Stegostoma tigrinum: one gene and its partners. The protein of the gene in region 1 purifies or fractionates together with the protein of each later gene. This does not show direct contact. Links are inferred from orthologs where the notes say so. Each region holds a gene or a part of one and is shown in the gene's direction. Other genes may lie near its edges.

Region 1 (6,942 bases):
TCCCATCGTCTCTACATTTTTGTAATGTCCTGTCTGCTCCTTATTGCAAACAGTTTGACTTTTTTTTTGAGATGGTGCAAACTGTCCACATTCTGTTCTCCTAGTCCAAAAAGGTGGGAGATTCCAGAGGGACACATTGGCCAGGTATCTCCTTGTGGTTCACCAGGGACCCAATGGTCAGTCAGTGTATTACGGTTTACCCAAGGCCAAAATGGACTTGACCTGTGCTATCAATTTATGTGCCACCTTTCCAATGTGTTTTGATGCCAATCTGCTGGTTTAAGGTGTCCAAAGCAATAGATCAGTAAATCTGGATGCAAAATACCACAACAGACATTGTTGTTTGGAGTGTGCAGGTGCTAGAGGCTCAATTAAGATTTCAAGGAATTGGTCATTTTCAAGTTACAGTGAAGAGTAGTTAGCATTATCATGGGCAATGACCAACTCTACCAGAAGCTCAACATTGGACAAGAAATTAGTTTTTTGACAGAAGTAGACCAGATGCAGTTCCACAAATTATGTTTAAAAAAAGTGGTATTTTACAAAATTTGTGAAGGCCTCAATCAACAGTTACAGGTCTACAGTTTAGAGAAACAAACTGCTTTGATCCTACCTTGATAAAACTGATTAATTAGAAACGACTGCAATAAGTCTGTTCCAGCGTACAGGGATGGTGTGTCAGCAGAAAAATTATTGTTGATAATTTTAGATTTTGAATAAATTTAAGGAGCAAATACACAGATTTTTAATTAATAATAGGTTAAGGGTTATCAGGAGCAGTGGAGCTGAAGCTGACATGAGATCAGCCATGAATATATTGAAAGATGCGCAGGTCCAAGGGGCTGAATTGACGTAACAATGATTCAGAGTAAACCACAGTAATGTGTCATAATCTCCACCTGCTTTCATAACAAAATACCAGCTGATGTTCAGGAGTTCATCTCCTAATACATGCATTGTGTAATTTTTTGGGTGGTGCCAGTAATTGGTCACTTAGTGAGCTCACGCTGATCACAAATCACCTGAGGAGCTCCAGGAGCCAAGCAAGATTAATTTTTTTTTAATGTATTCTGCACTGAGAATGAATTTTGGTGCGAACTGATTTTGTTTGCTGCCATGTGTACCAAATGAATTAATGTTTGTAAGATAACCAAGTGTGGAGCTGGATGAACACAGCAGGCCAAGCAGCATCTCAGGAGCACAAAAGCTGATGTTTCGGGCCGAGACCCTTCATCAGAGAGGGGGATGGGGAGAGGGTGTCCCCGCCTCCCTAACCTGTTCTTCCTCTCACCTATCCCTTCCTCCCACCTCAAGCCGCACCTCCATTTCCTACCTACTAACCTCATCCCACCGCCTTGACCTGTCCGTCTTCCCTGGACTGACCTATCCCCTCCCTACCTATACTCTCCTCTCCACCTATCTTCTTTTCTCTCCATCTTCGGTCCGCCTCCCCCTCTCTCCCTATTTATTCCAGAACCCTCTCCCCATCCCCCTCTCTGATGAAGGGTCTAGGCCTGAAACGTCAGCTTTTGTGCTCCTGAGATGCCACTTGGCCTGCTGTGTTCATCCAGCCTCACACTTGGTTATCTTGGATTCTCCAGCATCTGCAGTTCCCATTATCTCTGAGTTAATGTTTGTGTTTGGTTTATTGTTGTCACATGAGACGGCGAAAAGCAGGAACAAAAACAGAAGTTTCTGGAAAAGCTCAGCCGGTCTGGCAGCATCTGTGAAGAAAATGTCAGACCTAATATTTTGGGTGCGGTGACCCTTCCTCAGAACTGTGAAAAGTGTTTCTTTGTGTGCTATACAGACAGATCAAAATTCTGAACATGTTGCACAGTCTGGAGGTGGAGACAGTGAGTTCTACACCAGCCTTGGTGAACAGCAGAGGTGCACAACACAGCTCCTCTCAGTCTCCATCTCAGGCAACCAGCTTGTAACCGATGTCCATTTCAAGCCCACCGACTCCCACAGCTACCTAGAATACACCTCCTCCCACCCACCCTCCTGCAAAAATTCCATCCCCTATTCCCAATTCCTCCGCCTCCGCCGCATCTGCTCCCACGATGAGGCATTCCACTCCCGCACATCCCAGATGTGCAAGTTCTTTAAGGACCGCAACTTTCCCCCCACAGTGGTCGAGAACGCCCTTGACCACATCTCCCGCATTTCCTGCAACACATCCCTCACACCCCGCCCCCGCCACAACCGCCCAAAGAGGATCCCCCTCGTTCTCACACACCACCCTACCAACCTCCGGATACAACGCATCATCCTCCGACACTTCCGCCATTTACAATCCGACCCCACCACCCAAGACATTTTTCCATCCCCACCCCTGTCTGCTTTCCGGAGAGACCACTCTCTCCGTGACTCCCTTGTTCGCTCCACACTGCCCTCCAACCCCACCACATCCAGCACTTTCCCCTGCAACCGCAGGAAATGCTACACTTGCCCGCACACCTGCTCCCTCACCCCTATCCCAGGCCCCAAGATGACTTTCCATATTAAGCAGAGGTTCACCTGCACATCTGCCAATGTGGTATACTGTATCCACTGTACCCGGTGTGGCTTCCTCTACATTGGGGAAACCAAGCGGAGGCTTGGGGACCGCTCCGCAGAACACCTCCGCTCGGTTCGCAATAAACAACTGCACCTCCCAGTCGCAAACCATTTCCACTCCCCCTCCCATTCTTTAGATGACATGTCCATCATGGGCCTCCTGCAGTGCCTCAATGATGCCACCCGAAGGTTGCAGGAACAGCAACTCAAATTCCGCTTGGGAACCCTGCAGCCCAATGGTATCAATGTGGACTTCACCAGCTTCAAAATCTCCCCTTCCCCCACCGCATCCCAAAACCAGCCCAGTTCATCCCCTCCCCCCACTGCACCACACAACCAGCCCAGCTCTTCCCCTCCACCCACTGCATCCCAAAACCAGTCCAGCCTGTCTCCGCCTCCCTAACCTGTTCTTCCTCTCACCCATCCCTTCCTCCCACCCCAAGCCGCACCTCCATCTCCTACCTACTAACCTCATCCCACCTCCTTGACCGGTCCGTCTTCCCTGGACTGACCTATCCCCTCCCTACCTCCCCACCTATACTCTCCTCTCCACCTATCTTCTTTTCTCTCCATCTTCAGTCCGCCTCCCCCTTCTCCCTATTTATTCCAGAACCCTCACCCCATCCCCCTCTCTGATGAAGGGTCTAGGCCCGAAACGTCAGCTTTTGTGCTCCCGGGATGCTGCTGGGCCTGCTGTGTTCATCCAGCCTCACATTTTATTATCCAAAGATTTATGCCTGACTAGAATGTAGCTGTACTTAATGCGGTATGAAACAAATCATCTTGTTAAGTAACTTCTGTTGAAAATACTGAGTAGTGGGGTATCTTTGATCATTGCATAGATCCTAGATAAAGAATCTGTGAAGGAGAAAACAGAGTTAGGGGTCACTGGACCGCAAACGTTAACTGTTTTCTCCTTCACAGATGCTGCCAGACCTGCTGAGCTTTTCCAGCAACTTCTGTTTTTGTTCCTCAAACAACTGTTTCCTTGTAATAAAACAAAGAACTACAAATGCTGGCAATCTGAAATTGCTGGCGAAACCCAGCAAGTCTGGCAGCATCTATGGGAAGAAAGTCAGTGACTCTTCATTAGAACTGACTGTGGTGCAGATATCATGAGCGATCTCCAGTGACACAGCAGTCTCACAGTCAAACCTCAATATTGCTGGAGGAATTCGGCAGATCTGGAAGCATCTTGGGAGAGAAAGTGTTTCAAATCCAACAGCCCTTCTTCTGGGATGGGGGTGAGGGAGGAGCTGTAGCACTTCCTGCGGGTGCAGGTGGGGGGTCGGGCAGGAAGGGATACACGGAGGGGGTGGGGCCAGGATGGGCGGAACGCCCAGGGGGCGGGGTCGGAGCCGTCACGTGCCCGCCGCCGCGGAAACCCGCCGCGGGTCACGTGCCCGCGGAAACCCCGCCACGGGTCACGTGCCCAGAGCTCGTGCCGCGTTGTCCGCAGCGGCGGCGATGGCGGTGGTGTCTGGGGAGACGGAGCGCCTGGAGGCTGAGCTGACGTGTGCCGTTTGCCTGGACCTGTTCCGGGAGCCGGTGACGGCGCCGTGCGGCCACAATTTCTGCCGGAGCTGCCTGGCGCAGTTCTGGGCCGGGGACCGGCACCACCTCCTCGGCTTCACCTGCCCGCAGTGCCGCCGTCACTTCTCCGAGAGGCCCGAGCTGCAGCCCAACCGTGTCCTGTGCGCCGTGGTCGAGGAGTTCGAGCGGAGCCGGGCCCAGGCCGAGCCCAAGACCCAGGTCGCTGAGGCCGAGCCGCCGCCTGCCGTGGCCTGCGATGCGTGTCCTCCCGGAGCCGGGGCCTTGGCGGTCCGCAGCTGCCTGACTTGCCTGGCCTCCTTCTGCGCTGAGCACCTGGAGCCGCACCAACAGAGCGCGGCCTTCCGCACCCACAACCTGCAGCCCCCGCTGGCTGACCTGGCCGAGCGCCTCTGCCCCAGCCATGGCAACCTGCTCGAATTCTACTGTCGCCCCCACAGCAGCTGCATCTGCGCCGCCTGCCTCCTGGATCACCGCGGCTGTGACACCCAGAGAATGGAGGAGGCCCGAAGGCAGCAGGAGGTGGGGTGGGGGGGGAGGGGTTAAACAAGGCGACACCTGGGGAGGTGGAGTGGCCAAGGGGACTGTGGGGTGAGGGGGGGCGAACAAGGGGGACTGTGGGGTCGCGGGGGGGGGGGGGGCGAACGAGGAGGACTGTGGGGTCGCGGGGGGGGGGGGCGAACGAGGGGGACTGTGGAGTGAGGGGGGGGCGAACGAGGGGGACTGTGGAGTCGCGGGGGGGGGGGCGAACGAGGGGGACTGTGGAGTGAGGGGGGGGCGAACGAGGGGGACTGTGGAGTGAGGGGGGGCGAACGAGGGGGACTGTGGAGTGAGGGGGGGGCGAACGAGGGGGACTGTGGAGTGAGGGGGGGCGAACGAGGGGGACTGTGGAGTGAGGGGGGGGCGAACGAGGGGGACTGTGGGGTGAGGGGGGGCGAACGAGGGGGACTGTGGGGTGAGGGGGGGCGAACGAGGGGGACTGTGGGGTGAGGGGGGGCGAACGAGGGGGACTGTGGGGTGAGGGGGGGCGAACGAGGGGGACTGTGGGGTGAGGGGGGGCGAACGAGGGGGACTGTGGGGTGAGGGGGGGCGAACGAGGGGGACTGTGGGGTGAGGGGGGGCGAACGAGGGGGACTGTGGGGTGAGGGGGGGCGAACGAGGGGGACTGTGGGGTGAGGGGGGGCGAACGAGGGGGACTGTGGGGTGAGGGGGGGCGAACGAGGGGGACTGTGGGGTGAGGGGGGGCGAACGAGGGGGACTGTGGGGTGAGGGGGGGCGAACGAGGGGGACTGTGGGGTGAGGGGGGGCGAACGAGGGGGACTGTGGGGTGAGGGGGGGCGAACGAGGGGGACTGTGGGGTGAGGGGGGGCGAACGAGGGGGACTGTGGGGTGAGGGGGGGCGAACGAGGGGGACTGTGGGGTGAGGGGGGGCGAACGAGGGGGACTGTGGGGTGGCGGGGGGCGAACGAGGGGGACTGTGGGGTGGCGGGGCGCGAACGAGGGGGACTGTGGGGTGGCGGGGCGGGGGGCGAACGAGGGGGACTGTGGGGTGGCGGGGCGGGGGGCGAACGAGGGGGACTGTGGGGTGGCGGGGCGGGGGGCGAACGAGGGGGACTGTGGGGTGGCGGGGCGGGGGGCGAACGAGGGGGACTGTGGGGTGAGGGGGGGCGAACGAGGGGGACTGTGGGGTCGCGGGGCGGGGGGCGAACGAGGGGGACTGTGGGGTGAGGGGGGGCGAACGAGGGGGACTGTGGAGTGAGGGGGGGCGAACGAGGGGGACTGTGGAGTGAGGGGGGGCGAACGAGGGGGACTGTGGGGTGAGGGGGGACGAACGAGGGGGACTGTGGGGTCGCGGGGCGGGGGACGAACGAGGGGGACTGTGGGGTGAGGGGGGACGAACGAGGGGGACTGTGGGGTGAGGGGGGACGAACGAGGAGGACTGTGGGGTGAGGGGGGACGAACGAGGAGGACTGTGGGGTGAGGGGGGACGAACGAGGAGGACTGTGGGGTGAGGGGGGACGAACGAGGGGGACTGTGGGGTGAGGGGGGACGAACGAGGAGGACTGTGGGATGAGGGGGGACGAACGAGGGGGACTGTGGGGTCGCGGGGCGGGGGGCGAACGAGGGGGACTGTGGGGTGAGGGGGGACGAACGAGGAGGACTGTGGGGTGAGGGGGGACGAACGAGGAGGACTGTGGGGTGAGGGGGGACGAACAAGGGGGACTGTGGGGTCGCGGGGGGGGGCGAACGAGGGGGACTGTGGAGTGAGGGGGGGCGAACGAGGGGGACTGTGGAGTGAGGGGGGGCGAACGAGGGGGACTGTGGAGTGAGGGGGGGCGAACGAGGGGGACTGTGGAGTGAGGGGGGGCGAACGAGGGGGACTGTGGGGTCGCGGGGCGGGGGGCGAACAAGGGGGACTGTGGGGTGAGGGGGGACGAACGAGGAGGACTGTGGGGTGAGGGGGGACGAACAAGGGGGACTGTGGGGTCGCGGGGGGGGCGAACGAGGGGGACTGTGGGGTGAGGGGGGGGCGAACGAGGGGGACTGTGGAGTGAGGGGGGGGGCGAACGAGGGGGACTGTGGGGTCGCGGGGGGGGGGGCGAACGAGGGGGACTGTGGGGTCGCGGGGGGGGCGAACGAGGGGGACTGTGGGGTCGCGGGGGGGGCGAACGAGGGGGACTGTGGGGTGAGGGGGGACGAACGAGGAGGACTGTGGGGTGAGGGGAGACGAACAAGGGGGACTGTGGGGTCGCGGGGCGGGGGGCGAACAAGGGGGACTGTGGGGTGAGGGGGGACGAACGAGGAGGACTGTGGGGTGAGGGGGGACGA
Region 2 (6,999 bases), on another chromosome or scaffold:
CATTTATAAAAATGACAAACAGCAGTGGACCCAACACCGACCCTTGCAGTACACCACTAGTAACTGGTCTCCAGGATGAACATTTCCCATCAACTACCACCCTCTTTACCCATAGCATTCAACGAAGAGAAATAGATCCTCCTGTTGCAAGACCGGCAGGTCACATTTTATTCTTGTGAAATAAATTGACCCCCTTTTTGGAAGGATTTTTTGAAGCTACAAAGTCCAATTTACACGCTGTCATCTATGATAATGGAACATAGATCTTGACAGTACTCATTTTAATTTTGTTAATGATATAATAACGTTCCTCTTCAAAAATTAGGGAACGATACCGTCTGAAAACAAGATTCTTTTCTACACACGCTGTCACAATTGATGCCTTTCCTCATTTCCAAGAAACATGCATGGCCTTTGAAACAGGTGTTTAAAAAGAATTGAAGTAACCAGTTTTGTGGCCCAGCACATTGTTACCTGAATAGGTCATGGAAACAGGTCATTTTTCTACTATGAAAGTATAGTTTCTAATATATTTCAGTATTTTTATTGGTTTTCCAGAAAATGAATGCCTGAATACACCCTATCTTTCACCTTTCTCTATCTCCCTTTCTCTTTCTCTCACTCACCCTGTTTCTTTCACTTATTTCCAATTCTGGCTTTTTTATTTCGCTTGGCAGTACAAAGAAATTTTCTTTATGATCCAGATATATGTGCCGAAATGTTTATGATATACACCAAATGGCAATTTTGGGGAATGTGGAGATCAGAGTTCTAGACAACCTTCATTTTCTCAAATGACTAAATGAGTCCATTTCTTTTGAGTAGAACTTTATCACTGTTACTATCAGCTGGAATTTCTGCCTAATATGAATATTGGATGGCTTATTATGTGTTCTACATTTTGCAAATCACAATGCAATTTCAATGATACCCAGCTGCATTCTAACTGCAACTAATATGAACAACTTCTTCATATTTTGTTTTAAAATGTATAAGCTCTTATCTACAATAACACTCAACACTGAAGCCCCACACCCCCGCCCCGACCCGGGATGCAGCCTCAGCCCTCTACTGTGCTCCCTGTACACCTACAACTGTGTTGCCAAATTCCAAATAAAATTCCCTTCTACAAGTTCACTGATGACATCAGTCAACTGGGACGCATATCTAACAACAACGAGTCAAAATGCAGAAGGGAGACAGACCTCTTGGTGACGTGATGAAAACAATCTGTCTTTCAATGTCTGCAAAACTAAAGAACTGATCATCAACTTCAGAAAGAAGGAACGAGAAGTTCCTCGGAGTCACAAAAACCGATAACCTGTCCTGGACCTCCTACATAGATGCGACAGTCAGAAAGGCACAAGAACGCCTCTTCTTCCACAAGCGGTCAGGAAATTTGACATGTCCATAATGTCCCTCACCAACTTCTACAGATGCGACACTGAAAGCATCTTGTCTGGGTGCAACTGCTCTACCCAGGACCATAACAAACTACAGAAGGTGGATGTGCACAGCTCAGCCCATCATGGAAGCCAATCTTCCATCCATTTACACGGCTCACTGCTGCAGAAAGGCGACCAACGTCATCAAAGACCCATCACAGCCCAGTAATGATCTCCTACAGCCTCTTCTGTCAGGCAGAAGATACAGAAGCCTGAACACGCGCAGAAGCAGATTCAGAAACAGCTTATTTCTTTACCAGACTGTTGAATGGACTTTCGACTCAAATAAAGTAGCCCGTATGCCTCTAAGTCTTGTTAATCTCTACATCCTTTGCTTGGTGTGATCTGCCTGTACCGGTCTTAATTAGAACTTTTCAGTGTACTTTGGTACATGTGACAATAAATCAATCAATCAAATAAAAGTCTCTCTAAGTCCTTTTGTACTTTGATTCGTCTTCGTTAGATATCTATCCCACTATGGTGTGTTGTCAGCAAAATTGTAGATGGTGTTCGTTCAAAATTTGCAACGCAGCTGTAGGTGTACAGGGTTAAGACCAGTTAAGCGTTTATGTTCCAACCCTCTTGAGATAAACGATAACACTACATTCACTTTCTTAATCACGGACTCTACCTGCAAGTTAACTTTTATAGAATCCTGGACCAACACTCCCAGATCCCTTTGTACTTCTGCTTTGTGAATTTTCTCACCGTTTAGAAAATAGTCCATGCCTGTATTCTTTTTTCCAAAGTGTAAAATCTCACATTTGCTCACATTGAATTTCATCAGCCATTTCCGGGACCACTCTCCTAAACTATCTAAATCTTTCTGCAGCCTCCCCACCTCCTCAGTACTATCTGCCTGTCCACCTATCTTTGTATCATCAGCAAACTTCGCCAGAATGCCCCCAGACCCTTCATCCAGATCATTAATATATAAAGTGAACAGCTGTGGCCCCAACACTGAACTCTGCGGGACATCACTTGTCACTGGTTGCCATTCCAAAAAAGAGACTTTTATCCCAACTCTGCCTTCTGTCAGACAGCCAATCGTCAATCCAAGCCAGCAGCTCACCTCGAACACCATGGGCCCTCACCTTACTCAGCAGCCTCCCGTCAGGCACCTTATCAAAGGCCTTTTGGAAGTCTAGATAGATAACATCCACTGGGTTTCCCTGGTCTAACCTACTTGTTACCTCTTCAAAGAATTTGAGTGATATTGAGTGGAGTGTTATTGTGGAGGAGGTGCAGTTACCAACCTCACTGATTGTGGGCCAGAGGGCGGGACCGCGGTCAAGGTCACACAGTTTTGGTCAGAAGTTACACGACACCAGGTTATAGTTAAACAGGTTAACTCCAGAACACGAAATAAATCTGTTGGGCTCCAAGCTGGTGTCACGTGGCTTCTGGCCTCGGCCAGTCCAACACGAGCACCTCCACAGGTGAAGGTTTGCGATCAGCCCGGAGGGAGAACGATGTTGAAGGTGGAGTCAGCAGGGGCCTGGGGTAAGTGAGCTCACTGAATGGCGGGACAGGCTCAATGGGCCGAGCGGCCTCCGCCAACCTCTGATTTTTTTTGTTTGGTCCAGAACTGCGCCTCCCATAAAGGGGCCAAAAGGATCCTCCTGGCTCCGTCCCCGCCTCACACTAAAACTATCCCAGTGCCGAAGGGCCTGAAACCGACAAAACCGCTCAGCCCCGCCCCTCAGGTTAAACATTTACCGGGGGGGGGGGCAGGTTAGAGTGTGACACCCGGGGGGGGGGCAGGTTAGAGTGTGACATCCGGGGGCAGGTTAGAGTGTGACATCCGGGGGCAGGTTAGAGTGTGGCACCCGGGGGGGGCAGGTTAGAGTGTGACACCCGGGGGGGGGCAGGTTAGAGTGTGACACCCGGGGGCAGGTTAGAGTGTGACATCCGGGGGCAGGTTAGAGTGTGACACCCGGGGGGGGGCAGGTTAGAGTGTGACATCCGGGGGCAGGTTAGAGTGTGGCACCCGGGGGGGGCAGGTTAGAGTGTGACACCCGGGGGGGGGCAGGTTAGAGTGTGACACCCGGGGGGGGGCTGGTTAGAGTGTGACATCCGGGGGCAGGTTAGAGTGTGACACCCGGGGGCTGGTTAGAGTGTGACATCCGGGGGCAGGTTAGAGTGTGGCACCCGGGGGGGGCTAGTTAGAGTGTGACATCCGGGGGCAGGTTAGAGTGTGACACCCGGGGGCTGGTTAGAGTGTGACACCCGGGGGGGCAGGTTAGAGTGTGGCACCCGGGGGGGCTGGTTAGAGTGTGACACCCGGGGGCCGGTTAGAGTGTGACACCCGGGGGCTGGTTAGAGTGTGACACCCGGGGGCTGGTTAGAGTGTGACATCCGGGGGCAGGTTAGAGTGTGACACCCGGGGGGGCTGGTTAGAGTGTGACACCCGGGGGGTGTAAGAGGAAATCCCATCGTGTGAGACACGCGGGAGCAAGGGGCAGAGGGGACCGGATGTAGTGTGACGCTGCGGGGAAGCGGATAGAATGTGACTTTGGAGGAGGCGGTTTGGGGGTGGGGGGGACCGGTTAGAGTGTGACGCCGCGCTGCCGGACACTTCCTCCTGACGCACACGCGGTAACGGCCGAGCTCGGAGCCGCCGCCTCTTTCCCGGAGCCGGAGCCGCAGGTACCGGGGGCGCGGGAGGGAAACCGGCCGGAACCTTCCGGCTCTCGCCTCTGCGCGAATCTGCCCGCTCCCTGCATTGATCTAGCGCCCAGAGCCTGAGCAAAACCTTCCCCCGAATCATCCGTTCCTCCCCCCCCCCCCAGCTTCAACCCCCCCCACCCCCCCCGCTTCAACCCCCCCACCCCCCCCGCTTCATCCCCCCCACCCCCCCGCTTCATCCCCCCCACCCCCCCCGCTTCATCCCCCCCCCACCCCCCCCAGCTTCAACCCCCCCCCAGCTTCAACCCCCCCCACCCCCCAGCTTCATCCCCCCCACCCCCCCGCTTCATCCCCCCCCCACCCCCCCCGCTTCATCCCCCCCTCCCCCCTGCTTCAACCCCCCCCCCACCCCCCCCAGCTTCAACCCCCCCCCAGCTTCAACCCCCCCCACCCCCCAGCTTCAACCCCCCCCAGCTTCAACCCCCCCCCCACCCCCCCCAGCTTCAACCCCCCCCAGCTTCAACCCCCCCCAGCTTCAACCCCCCCCCGCCCCCCAGCTTCAACCCCCCCTCCGCTTCACCCCCCCCACTCTACATCCCCCACACCCAACACTCCCCACCCCCCTTTCACACCTCCACCCCCACTTCACAACCCCCACTCCATTCCTGCCCTCCTCTCCAGTCTTACCCCCCCCCCTCCCAGACTCTCCAGTACCCCCCCCCCCCCCCCCCCCCCCCCCCCGGAGATCCTGAACGGTCTTGGCGGATTGTATGTGGAAAGGATGTTTCCTTTTCTGGGATTATCCTAAACTAGATTGAAAATGAACAACTTGTCATTTAAAACAGACAAGGTGTAGCTGTCAGAGTAACTCCCTTCCTGAGGTGGTGGTGGAAACAGCCTTTAAATACATTGAAGGCAGAGGTGGAAAGGTGAGGAGTAAAAGGTTTTTAGGTTTAGGCAGGAATGTGGAGTAATCAGATCTGCCACAATCCTGTTGAGAGGCCAAGTGGCCGCCTCCTATTTCAATGTTCGTAGAGTCATAGAGATATACAGCATGGAAACAGACCCTTCAGTCCAGTTCGTCCATGCTGACCAAGTTTCCTAAATTAATCTAACCCCGTTTGCCATGAGCTGCCAGAGGAAGTGCTGGAGGCTCATATAATTACAATAGTGTGCTTTACAAGCTTTGATGGAGGCATGGAAAGGGAACAAGAAATTATCAGGCCATAAGGAAAGAATGCCAAAATGTAATTAATTGGAGAACTCCTAAAGGAAAATGGTGCCTTGCATAAAGTCTGATTCTTTATATACTTTGAAGGGTGTAATTTCATTAGAGGCTGTTTGTAGGAGGCTCACCACATTAATTCCAAAAATGAGGGGTTTGTTTTATGGAGAGAGATTGAGCAGTTTAGAAGAATGAGAGATGATCTAATTGAGGTTTACAAGATGCTACAGTGGGTTGACAAAGTAGACAGAGCAGATGTTGTGGTGCATTGGAGAATGAGAGGTCATAGTTTTGAGACTACAGGGTGGCACATTTAAAACAGATGAGAAATTACTTCCCCAAAGAACTGTCAAATCTGTGGAATTCACTACTCCAGAGTGAGGTGGACACCAGGACACTAAATAGTTTTGAGGAGATGGACAGATTTTTGATTAGTACTGGGTCAAAGAGTTACATAGAGCTGGCAGGGAAGGCCAAGATGAGCTCAGCCATGATTGTATTGATTGGCAGAACAGGCTCGAGAGGCTAAATGGCCTACTCCTGCACCTAGTTCTTATGAAATAAAAGTTGTGTGGGAGATTAGTGTGAAACAGCAATGCATTTCCTTGGATGGTATATCCAGGAAAAAAATCCTGTTTTTGACCAGTTTTTATTATCTGAATAAGGTCCTTTGCACTGGATGTAAATGTTTTACTACATTTACAATGCAACACAAATGTTGAATGTTTCTCTCCTTCAGACTGCTAATGCTGAGGTACTCACTTCTCTCTCAGTCACAGCAGTGAAAAGTAAAAAAGCTCTTAGTGATGTTATTATTTCCATAAATTTATAAGCAAGGGTAAATTTATTTGCTGAAGTAATGGAGCTATACTCAACCCTACTCAGTAATCAGATTAAAATAATTTAAACATTGCAACTTATTTCAAAATGATCGGGTAACATGTTTGACCAAGGCTTCCAATGAGTTGACCACATTTTGTTCAAGTTTACTAACTGTTTTCTGAGAGTGTGTTTTAAACCCTAGCTTTAAGATCGGGGCTTCACTGACAGAATGAGATCACCGATGTGCACCCTCTTGGTGTGTTGTTAGTCAGGAGGTAAAACGCAAGCATATTCATGTATGTATATTCTTCACGTACGTGGACACGTTCAAAATTGATGTCCTGCTCTATGGTTCAGTTGATATAATCTGCTCTTTCCTTGCATCATTTCGTTTTGACGGTACATGTTGCCATGTTGTCAAAAAGCTATCTTTATGGACTGAAGTCATGGAAGGTGTTGGAATAAAGTGTGAGAAAGGTTGTTGCTAAAATACAAATATTTAGCTCAGAGGACCTATAATTCAAAGTTTCATAACTGAAATGATTCAAAATTGTGTATGACCGCAGTACCACATTGTTCATTAATTCATATTAGATTGTTTTTGAATTCAAAAACAATCTAATTTAGATTTGCCCTTTGAGAAATTGCAGTGTTGCTGGGGGCTGCATAGTTGTGACATTTATGTTCCCGTTTCGTGGTTTACATGATACAAGTTGGACATTTGTATCGTACTTGCTCGCTTACTTCATTTCTAATGTCTTTTTGGGCTGGTTGTCAGGTGAGAGTGGGAGAATGTAGTGGTGATTATTTATGCTTATTTGACACTAGCGTTTATCTAACAGAGTAAGTAACTAACACTTTCCATTCTCCTTCAGCAAG
Region 3 (7,429 bases), on another chromosome or scaffold:
ACATTAACTCTGCTTTGTTTTCACAGATGTTGCCACACCTGCTGAGTTTTGCTGGCAATTTCTGTTTTAGAACATAAAACAATACAGCACATTACAGGCCATTTGGCCCACGATGTGCTGAACTTTTAACCTAATCCTAAGGTCTATCGAACCTCCACCCCTGTATGATACTATCATCCATATGCCTCTCAAATAGCTACTTACATGGCCCTAATGAGGCTGACTCCACTACTCTCTCCACGCCCTAACCACTCTCTGAGTAAAGAACCTACCTGTGATGTCTCCCCTATGTCTACCTCCACTCACTATAAAAATATCCCCTCTCGTAATAGCTACCTCCACCCAAGTAAATTGTCTCTGGCTGTCCACTCTATCTATACCTCTGATCATTTTCAAGTCACCTCTCATCCTTCACCGTTCTAAAGAGAAAAGCCCTAGCTCTTTCAACCTTTCCTCGTAAGACCTTCTCTCCATTCCACGGGCAACATCCTGGTAAATCTCCTCTGCACCTTTTCCAATGCTTCCAACATCTTTCCTGTAGTGAGGCGACCAGAACTGTACTCTAGGTGTGGCCGAACATGCTTTTGTATAACTGGAGCATAACTTCACGGCTCTTGAACTCCATCCCTCTATTAATGAAAGCTACCACAACATACACCTTCTTAACAACTCTATCCGCTTGGATGGTGGCTTTCTGATTTCTAGCATTCATAGTTCTTTGGTCGTTTTTGCTGGCTGTTATAGCTAGCTTGATTATACTTCCTCCACTAGTTCACCCTGGTTCCTTTAAGAACTCTATTTAATTTTCTTAGTTTTTCTGACTCCATTGCATTTGTTCTGCTGATACCAAATTACATCCAATCCTGCTGATATGGCTTCCTTTCTCATCTAACAAGGATTCCCTTTCACTATATGTGAAAGAGGCCCTCTATTAAGTTCATTCCACAATCCCACATTTGTGCTCTCACTCTTCCCTTCCCTGTTAGGGTCAAATTCAGGTTCCTTTATTCAAATTTGCAATAACAACATTCATATTCCATCAGATCATCCCTGGACACACACAATTCTGAAGGGATTGTTTAGTCATGACATCAATCTGCTTTCCTGGGTGCTTATCAATGAGGAAGTGAACACTCAATGCTGTACTTTCATCTCCTCCTACTTTCATCTTCCAATATAGTTTTCTGTCAAACACACCCAAGATGTCTTTCCAATTTAAAATCTTCAAAGGTTGAGAAAAGCTGTATCATAACAAGAACTTTCTGCCAAGGGTTGCTAGGTAGAACTGATAGACCAGCTGCAGTAATTAAACATTTATTCAGATGGAAAAATGACAAGTTTAAATTCCATCCTGAATGACTGCTTAAAATTGCCTGTTCCTCCGGTCAGCTTCCCAAATCCTGGAAAATATGTTTCTCTCCAGAACCAAATGGGTTTCCATTAACCATGGCAAAACCCACTGTGGCAGCAATATAGTCTGGCAAAATCAAAATCACTACATTTCACCTTGCCCCAACCCATCTAAATTGAGGAATAAAATTTCTCTTAACTCTGTTTTCCTATCCTATTTCATGTCTGACCTGCTGTGTATTTCTACCATTTTCTGTTTTTATTACAATAGAAAAGACTGATGTACATCAAAATGTTCAGGCATTAACATGGATAGACATCGAACATAAAAAGAAATTTTATTATTTGAGGGATTTTATTGCACACTTACTTTGGTAAAAAAAGAATTGGTGATAAGTTGACTACCACGAGAGTATTGATTGTTCCAGAGTAAAGAATCCTATCTAAACAATCTTTCCATATGGGGCCTGTTCTTTATAAAACAAGAATTAGGCCACAGCTAAAGTATTTAGAAAATTGTTGCTGTTCTTAATAAGGCAAAGAGATGATAAGACCATAAGATATTACAGCATAATTAGACCTATCAGCCCATTAATTCTGCTCCAGCATTTGTTTATGGCTGGAATGTTTCTCAATTCCATTCATACATATTCTCCCTGTAACCCTTGATTCTCTTACCAACCAGGAACCTATCTATGGCTGCCTTAAATACACTCAATGAGTGGCCTCCACAGCCCTGTGCGGCAATGGGTTTCACAGATTAGCCATGCTCTGGCTGAAGAAATTCCTCCTCACCTCAGTTCACTCTGACGTTGTTCTAGTGTCTTTATGTCACTCCTATGAGTGGAAACATTTTCTCCATATCCATTCATTTGGAAGGAAGTTATGATGAATATTTCTGAAAAAAATTGCTCATCCTCAAGTATTTTGTCCAATTCTGGACACTGTGTTATAAGGTCGTGTTGGAGCTGATGGGCTTCTAAGATTATTGTTTGTCAACTTATTCTCCTAAATTAGAGATAATAAAGAAAGGTAAATGATTCAGAGGTAAATCATATGAAGGTGAAGAAAGGTCAGGAATATAAATAAAGATGAGTATTTCAGAGACGGTTTAAGAAAGAAAATTATGTTTCAGGGATCGGATTTCAGTCACTTGGATGGATGGAGAAATTTTCCTTAGGTGAACAATGTTTGGAGCTTTTCAAAATCACAACGGTCTGGACAGAGTGGACAGTGAAGTTTGAGAACAGGGGAGACAAATTTATGGTGAATGGCAAAAGAACCAAATACCCAGCCCCATCTCCTACCTACTAGCTTCTTCCCACCCCCTTGACCTGTCCATCCTCCCTGGACTGACCTATCCCCTCCCTACCTCCCCACCTACACTCACCTCTACAGGCTCCATCCCCACCCCTTTAACTTGTCTGTCTCCTCTCCACCTATCTTTTCCTCTATCCATCTTATATCTGCCTTCCCCTCTCTCCCTATTTTTTTCAGAACCTTCTCCCCCTCCCCTTTTCTGATGAAGGGTCTAGGCCCGAAACGTCAGCTTTTGTGCTCCTAAGATGCTGCTTGGACTGCTGTGTTCATCCAGTTCCACACTTTGTTATTTTGGAAAGATGGTTTAGTTGGGACTCTTTACTCTGGAACAGAGAAAACTGAAGAAAGGTGAAAGAAATACTTTATTTTTTCATGTGATGTGGGTGTTGCTGTCACTCCAAATTCTCAAGTGGATTGGCAAGCCACTTCAGAGGGCAATTAACAGTCAATCCATATTCCTGTGGTGCTGAAGTCACATGTAGATTAAAATAACTCTAGTTTTTATTACAATCATAGCAATTATTATTTTTGAGCATCTAATTCCAAAATTTCATGGAATGATTTGATTTCGTGGATGATTTGATAAGTTTCACTCAATCTTCAAATTAAACATTTGAATTTTCTAAGTCATGGGACTGTGGAAGGTCTGTAGTTCATTATACTTAAACAAAAGAGCTAACTAGATTTCTGGATACAAATCAAGTTAAAGAATATGGAGAGAATGGAGAAAGGTTTATTTGAAGTAATAAATCAGTAATGATCATAATGATGGGAGAGCATGCTGGAAAGGCAGAATGGCCATTTTTAAACAAAAGATCAACATGAATAGAGCACCCAGTGGACTGAAAGCCAGCAATGGGAGGGAGCAGTAGCAAGTACCTTCAAGACTAAAAACAAAATTAAAGCAAGCGAACACATGGAGCCCACCTGAAACTGGCAGAGACGGTATGTTAGGCTACACCAGGGCAACAAACTAACTGGTTATGACCCATTACCTTCTAGAATCAATCACTCTTCTAACCCACGTGAAGAGATCGTAGCAAATACGTTTGACTCTCCGGACACAGCAATGTTAAATCGTCCAATATTGAGAGTTACGTGTGAAATGATTCATCGGTGACGCCGTGCTTGCCTGATGAACCGCTTTTGTGACATAACGAACCACCTCAGCTAAGAAATGTAAAACAAACAGCAGGCTTCTTTTGGGGAGGCGGGGGGTGTGAAGTTTAACGCCTGCTTCAACCCGACTTTATAACTACATTCAATTCAAAAGCCTTCACAGATCTTTCTGTATTGAAAAATAAATTTTAGAAAATATTTTAAACTTTAAATTATTATATTGAATATATTTCAAAATGCATGTTAATATGAAGAATGAGAACACAATTCCAGGATTTTGCAGAATTCAAATTTCACCGCCGACTGTTGGTGGGGTGGGGGAGATATGTTACTCATTGGGGCTCCAAGCGCTCCCTATCTTTATTCCCACTCTGGCCCCTTACTCCTCCAGGTTTGCACCCTGTCCTTTCGCAGGGACCGACTTCACAGGCAGAACCCGCCCTCAGAGCTGTCGATCAGGACCACCTCCCAATGCGATTGGTCAGTGCGGCGGGTCGCACCGCCCCCTCTACGGGGTCTCCCCGCGGCTCCTGCAGCCGGTGCCGCTCCACCGAACGTGCTGGCGGCGCAGGCCCCGCCCCCTTACCGACCACCCCATTGGCTTGGCGGGTGGATCCCCCACCCCCATTGATGGTCGGTGCTGTCAATCAGACCTTCCTTCTCTGCCCAGCAGGTTGGTGTGTGATTCAGCCGGCGCTCTCCTCGGCGGTGCGGGTACTTTTGTAATTTTTTTTCCACCCAAAATATTCCGGCCCCGCCCCTTCAACCCCAGAAGAAATTATTTCAATTGCGCGGATTGAGAAAGGTGAGGAGGGTTTCAGCCTTCCTGTTCCTGATCGAAGCTCCCGGTTCGGCCTCCCCTACGCTTCTCACTCACACTCTCTCTCCTCCCCGGATTCCTGCGGTGAGCGAGTTGAGCGGCTGGTGGCGGGGCCTGGGGTGGGAGAGAGTGTGGAAGAGAAAAGACAGTGAGGGAAGGGAAGGCCAGGCCGCCGCCATTTTAAACACCAGGCCGCGGCGGCAGCGACACGAGGGTTGGGGGGGTGGGTTGCAGAGTGAGACCCGGTGATTTCCTCCTAGCGCTCTCTTTCTCTCTGACTCCGCTCGCCGACTTAGGGTGGGGGAGAGAGAGGTTGTTGGTCTGGTCGTGGCCTGTAGTGTCGTTGTCGGGGATGGGGGGGGGGGGCAGAAAGGAGGGGGGTGGGGGTAGGTCTGGCCTTTGTTCCCGTCTCGGGTGGCGGGTAAGGGAGTGGGGGGTAAACAGAAAGGGATTGGGACCCTCCTTCAGTCTATCGTCGACGAAGTGGCCTCTGTGTCTTGATCAACCCCCCCACCCGCTCGCACGTGGTTGCCATCCGATATTCCCGCGTCGTTAAAGCCGCCCCCCCCCAAACACCTCGAGGCTTTTACTTGTCCCCTACAGTTCCACGTGTTATGGAGCTCAGCCTTGCCTCTGCCTGCCCTGTGCAATCCGATCATATTTTGTGTCCATCCCACAGGGCGGGAAGGGTGTTCAGGGGCCAGGCATTGTCTGGCTCGAATCCACACCCCCCCCCCCCCCCCCCATTTGAGAACACTCGTGTCTCTTCTCTCCTGTCACGTAAGATTATTTCAAGTGTGCTGGAGTCTTCTCTTAAACGTGCGACTTGTGCGAGCGAATCCTACGCAAATAGTGGATCAATTAGAGGGGGAGAACAATACCGTTCTTTTTGCCATTTAGCTTTTGTTTTCAAGAAAATGCCTCGCCCTTGTTACATGGAGTGGCCAAATTTCTCCGTTTACATTTCCTTGGATTGCAGGTTCAGGCGGAGGGCGCCCTCATTGTAATCCTTTATAAATTAAGTTAATTTTGATTGTGCGTGAAGCGCAAAATTGCAACGTTTGATAGTTGTAATTTGACGCAAGACGTTAGAAATCCACTGTCCCCAATCCCTTTTAGTATTTGTGGGATTGTCCGTGGTGATGTTAGAGACTGAGAAGACCTGTTCCTGTCTGTCAGTAATTAATCTGTGGCGTGAGGAAAACAAAAGAAAATCAGAGTGCTGCAACGGTTTTGAGCTCTGGTCTTTTTATTTTCTGATGGAGCCACATAACTTGCAATTATTTTTCAAAATTGGAACTCCATATTGGAGAGTTATGATGTTTATTACTAATCTGGCTGTATCAGTTTTAACTTTTTTAAAGTGTTTACCCAGGTAAGAATGCTGTAAGCAAAAGGGTAAGGGATGCTCAGGATATGTTGAGCACATCAACCTGACATAGTCAAATGCAGAACAAAACTTGGTTCACTATAAGAACCCAAATAAAACACCAGTATACCATGTTTTACAACCCTTGTGACTTTTGAGTTAAATCTTCTGAATTCTTCCCTCAAAACTTAAATATGTACTTGGATAGTTTTGACTTGATCCATTTGAACTCCCCTTAGTTGAACTGGACAGCTTGCAAAGTCATAATAAGATAGTCCTGTTTACTTTGTTTTTTTTTTCTTGTCTAGCAATTCTCAGTTGACCAAAGAGATGGTGATGGAGAAGCCAAGTCCCCTGCTTGTAGGGCGGGAATTTGTGAGGCAGTATTACACACTGTTGAACCAGGCCCCTGACTATTTACACAGGTAAGATGGCATTTTTTTTCCTGCAGCTGTCTACTTTTTTGTATGATCGAAGGCAAGGCGCAATCTGTGTGACTGGATCAACTAAAGATAGGATTGCTTGGTCATATTGGTTTGGAAGTTATTAGCAAGAGACTTAAAAAGATGTGCAAGTGAATGGCCATTTTCAGACTGCATTCAATGTTTTGTATAAACTGTCTTTACCAACTCCAAAGTGTATCAGTTACTGTAACTAATACTTGTTCATTTGGGCCATAGTTCTTTCATTCTGAAGCTTAAATTTGAATTAATAGTGTATGTTAGTTCTCAGGCACCACCTTGCTGTAGGTTGATAGCTATTGCTTTGCTAATCTGTCAGGTCTGCGCAGAATTAAACTTTATAGAAAGTACTAACTCAAGGTAACAAACCTATGATGTGATATTTTGCAAAGGACTTAAAAGGTGTTAATAGACTTGTCGCTATTACTTTTCATCAGGTTTTTCTAACTGGTAGTGTAATGTATAAGCGTTAGTCCAGTATAATCATTATTGATGCAAATTTTCTGTGTGGTATAGTTGATTACCTGATGTTTTCTTATAAGTAACAACTGAGTCGAATTGCATACTAATTTCAAATTAAAATATTGCATTGTAAAATATTTACTTTTAAACTTGTAAGGAAATGTATGCCTTTTTGATACTGGCTAATCCATCTGTCAGTTGAGCTAGTAATGATACTTTTTTTTATATACTCATTTCAATTGAGTGGTGTTATTTCCATTGCATGTAGAGACACCAAAAACACAATTCTGTAATGAGTTGCTGTAATATGGATTCTGGTACCTCATCGATGGTATAAGTTCTAAAATGTGCTGCCATCTTTCACATGACAAATTACTGGTAGGCAGTGCTACCCATTTTTGACTAGGATTACTGGTGCGCCAAAATACTGATGCTGGTGTTTGTAGTCACACAGATGACTAATCATGGAATCCTAAACAGAAAAGAGTCACTCAATTCCATGTGACTGCCAAAACTTTGAATTGGAGC

What was found.
Region 2: the proteins of trim25 (region 1) and g3bp2a purify together in Homo sapiens (affinity purification with mass spectrometry; 4 studies listed by BioGRID and IntAct, counting the BioPlex papers as one, with this or other methods). This does not show direct contact. The link is inferred for Stegostoma tigrinum from reciprocal best matches to the Homo sapiens genes TRIM25 and G3BP2.
Region 3: the proteins of trim25 (region 1) and g3bp1 purify together in Homo sapiens (affinity purification with mass spectrometry; 4 studies listed by BioGRID and IntAct, with this or other methods). This does not show direct contact. The link is inferred for Stegostoma tigrinum from reciprocal best matches to the Homo sapiens genes TRIM25 and G3BP1.

Annotation. Positions count from the first base shown.
Region 1 is NC_081375.1:3,342,135-3,349,076, forward strand, and holds the start of trim25 (E3 ubiquitin/ISG15 ligase TRIM25), read left to right. Parts: upstream 1-3,907; 5' UTR 3,908-4,029; coding exon 4,030-4,635; intron 4,636-6,942.
Region 2 is NC_081354.1:2,800,195-2,807,193, forward strand, and holds the start of g3bp2a (ras GTPase-activating protein-binding protein 2), read left to right. Parts: upstream 1-3,950; 5' UTR 3,951-4,094; intron 4,095-6,995; 5' UTR 6,996-6,999.
Region 3 is NC_081366.1:16,882,557-16,889,985, forward strand, and holds the start of g3bp1 (ras GTPase-activating protein-binding protein 1), read left to right. Parts: upstream 1-4,346; 5' UTR 4,347-4,462; exon of another isoform or gene 4,463-4,693; intron 4,694-6,286; 5' UTR 6,287-6,308; coding exon 6,309-6,403; intron 6,404-7,429. UniProt on the Homo sapiens protein: Protein involved in various processes, such as stress granule formation and innate immunity. Plays an essential role in stress granule formation.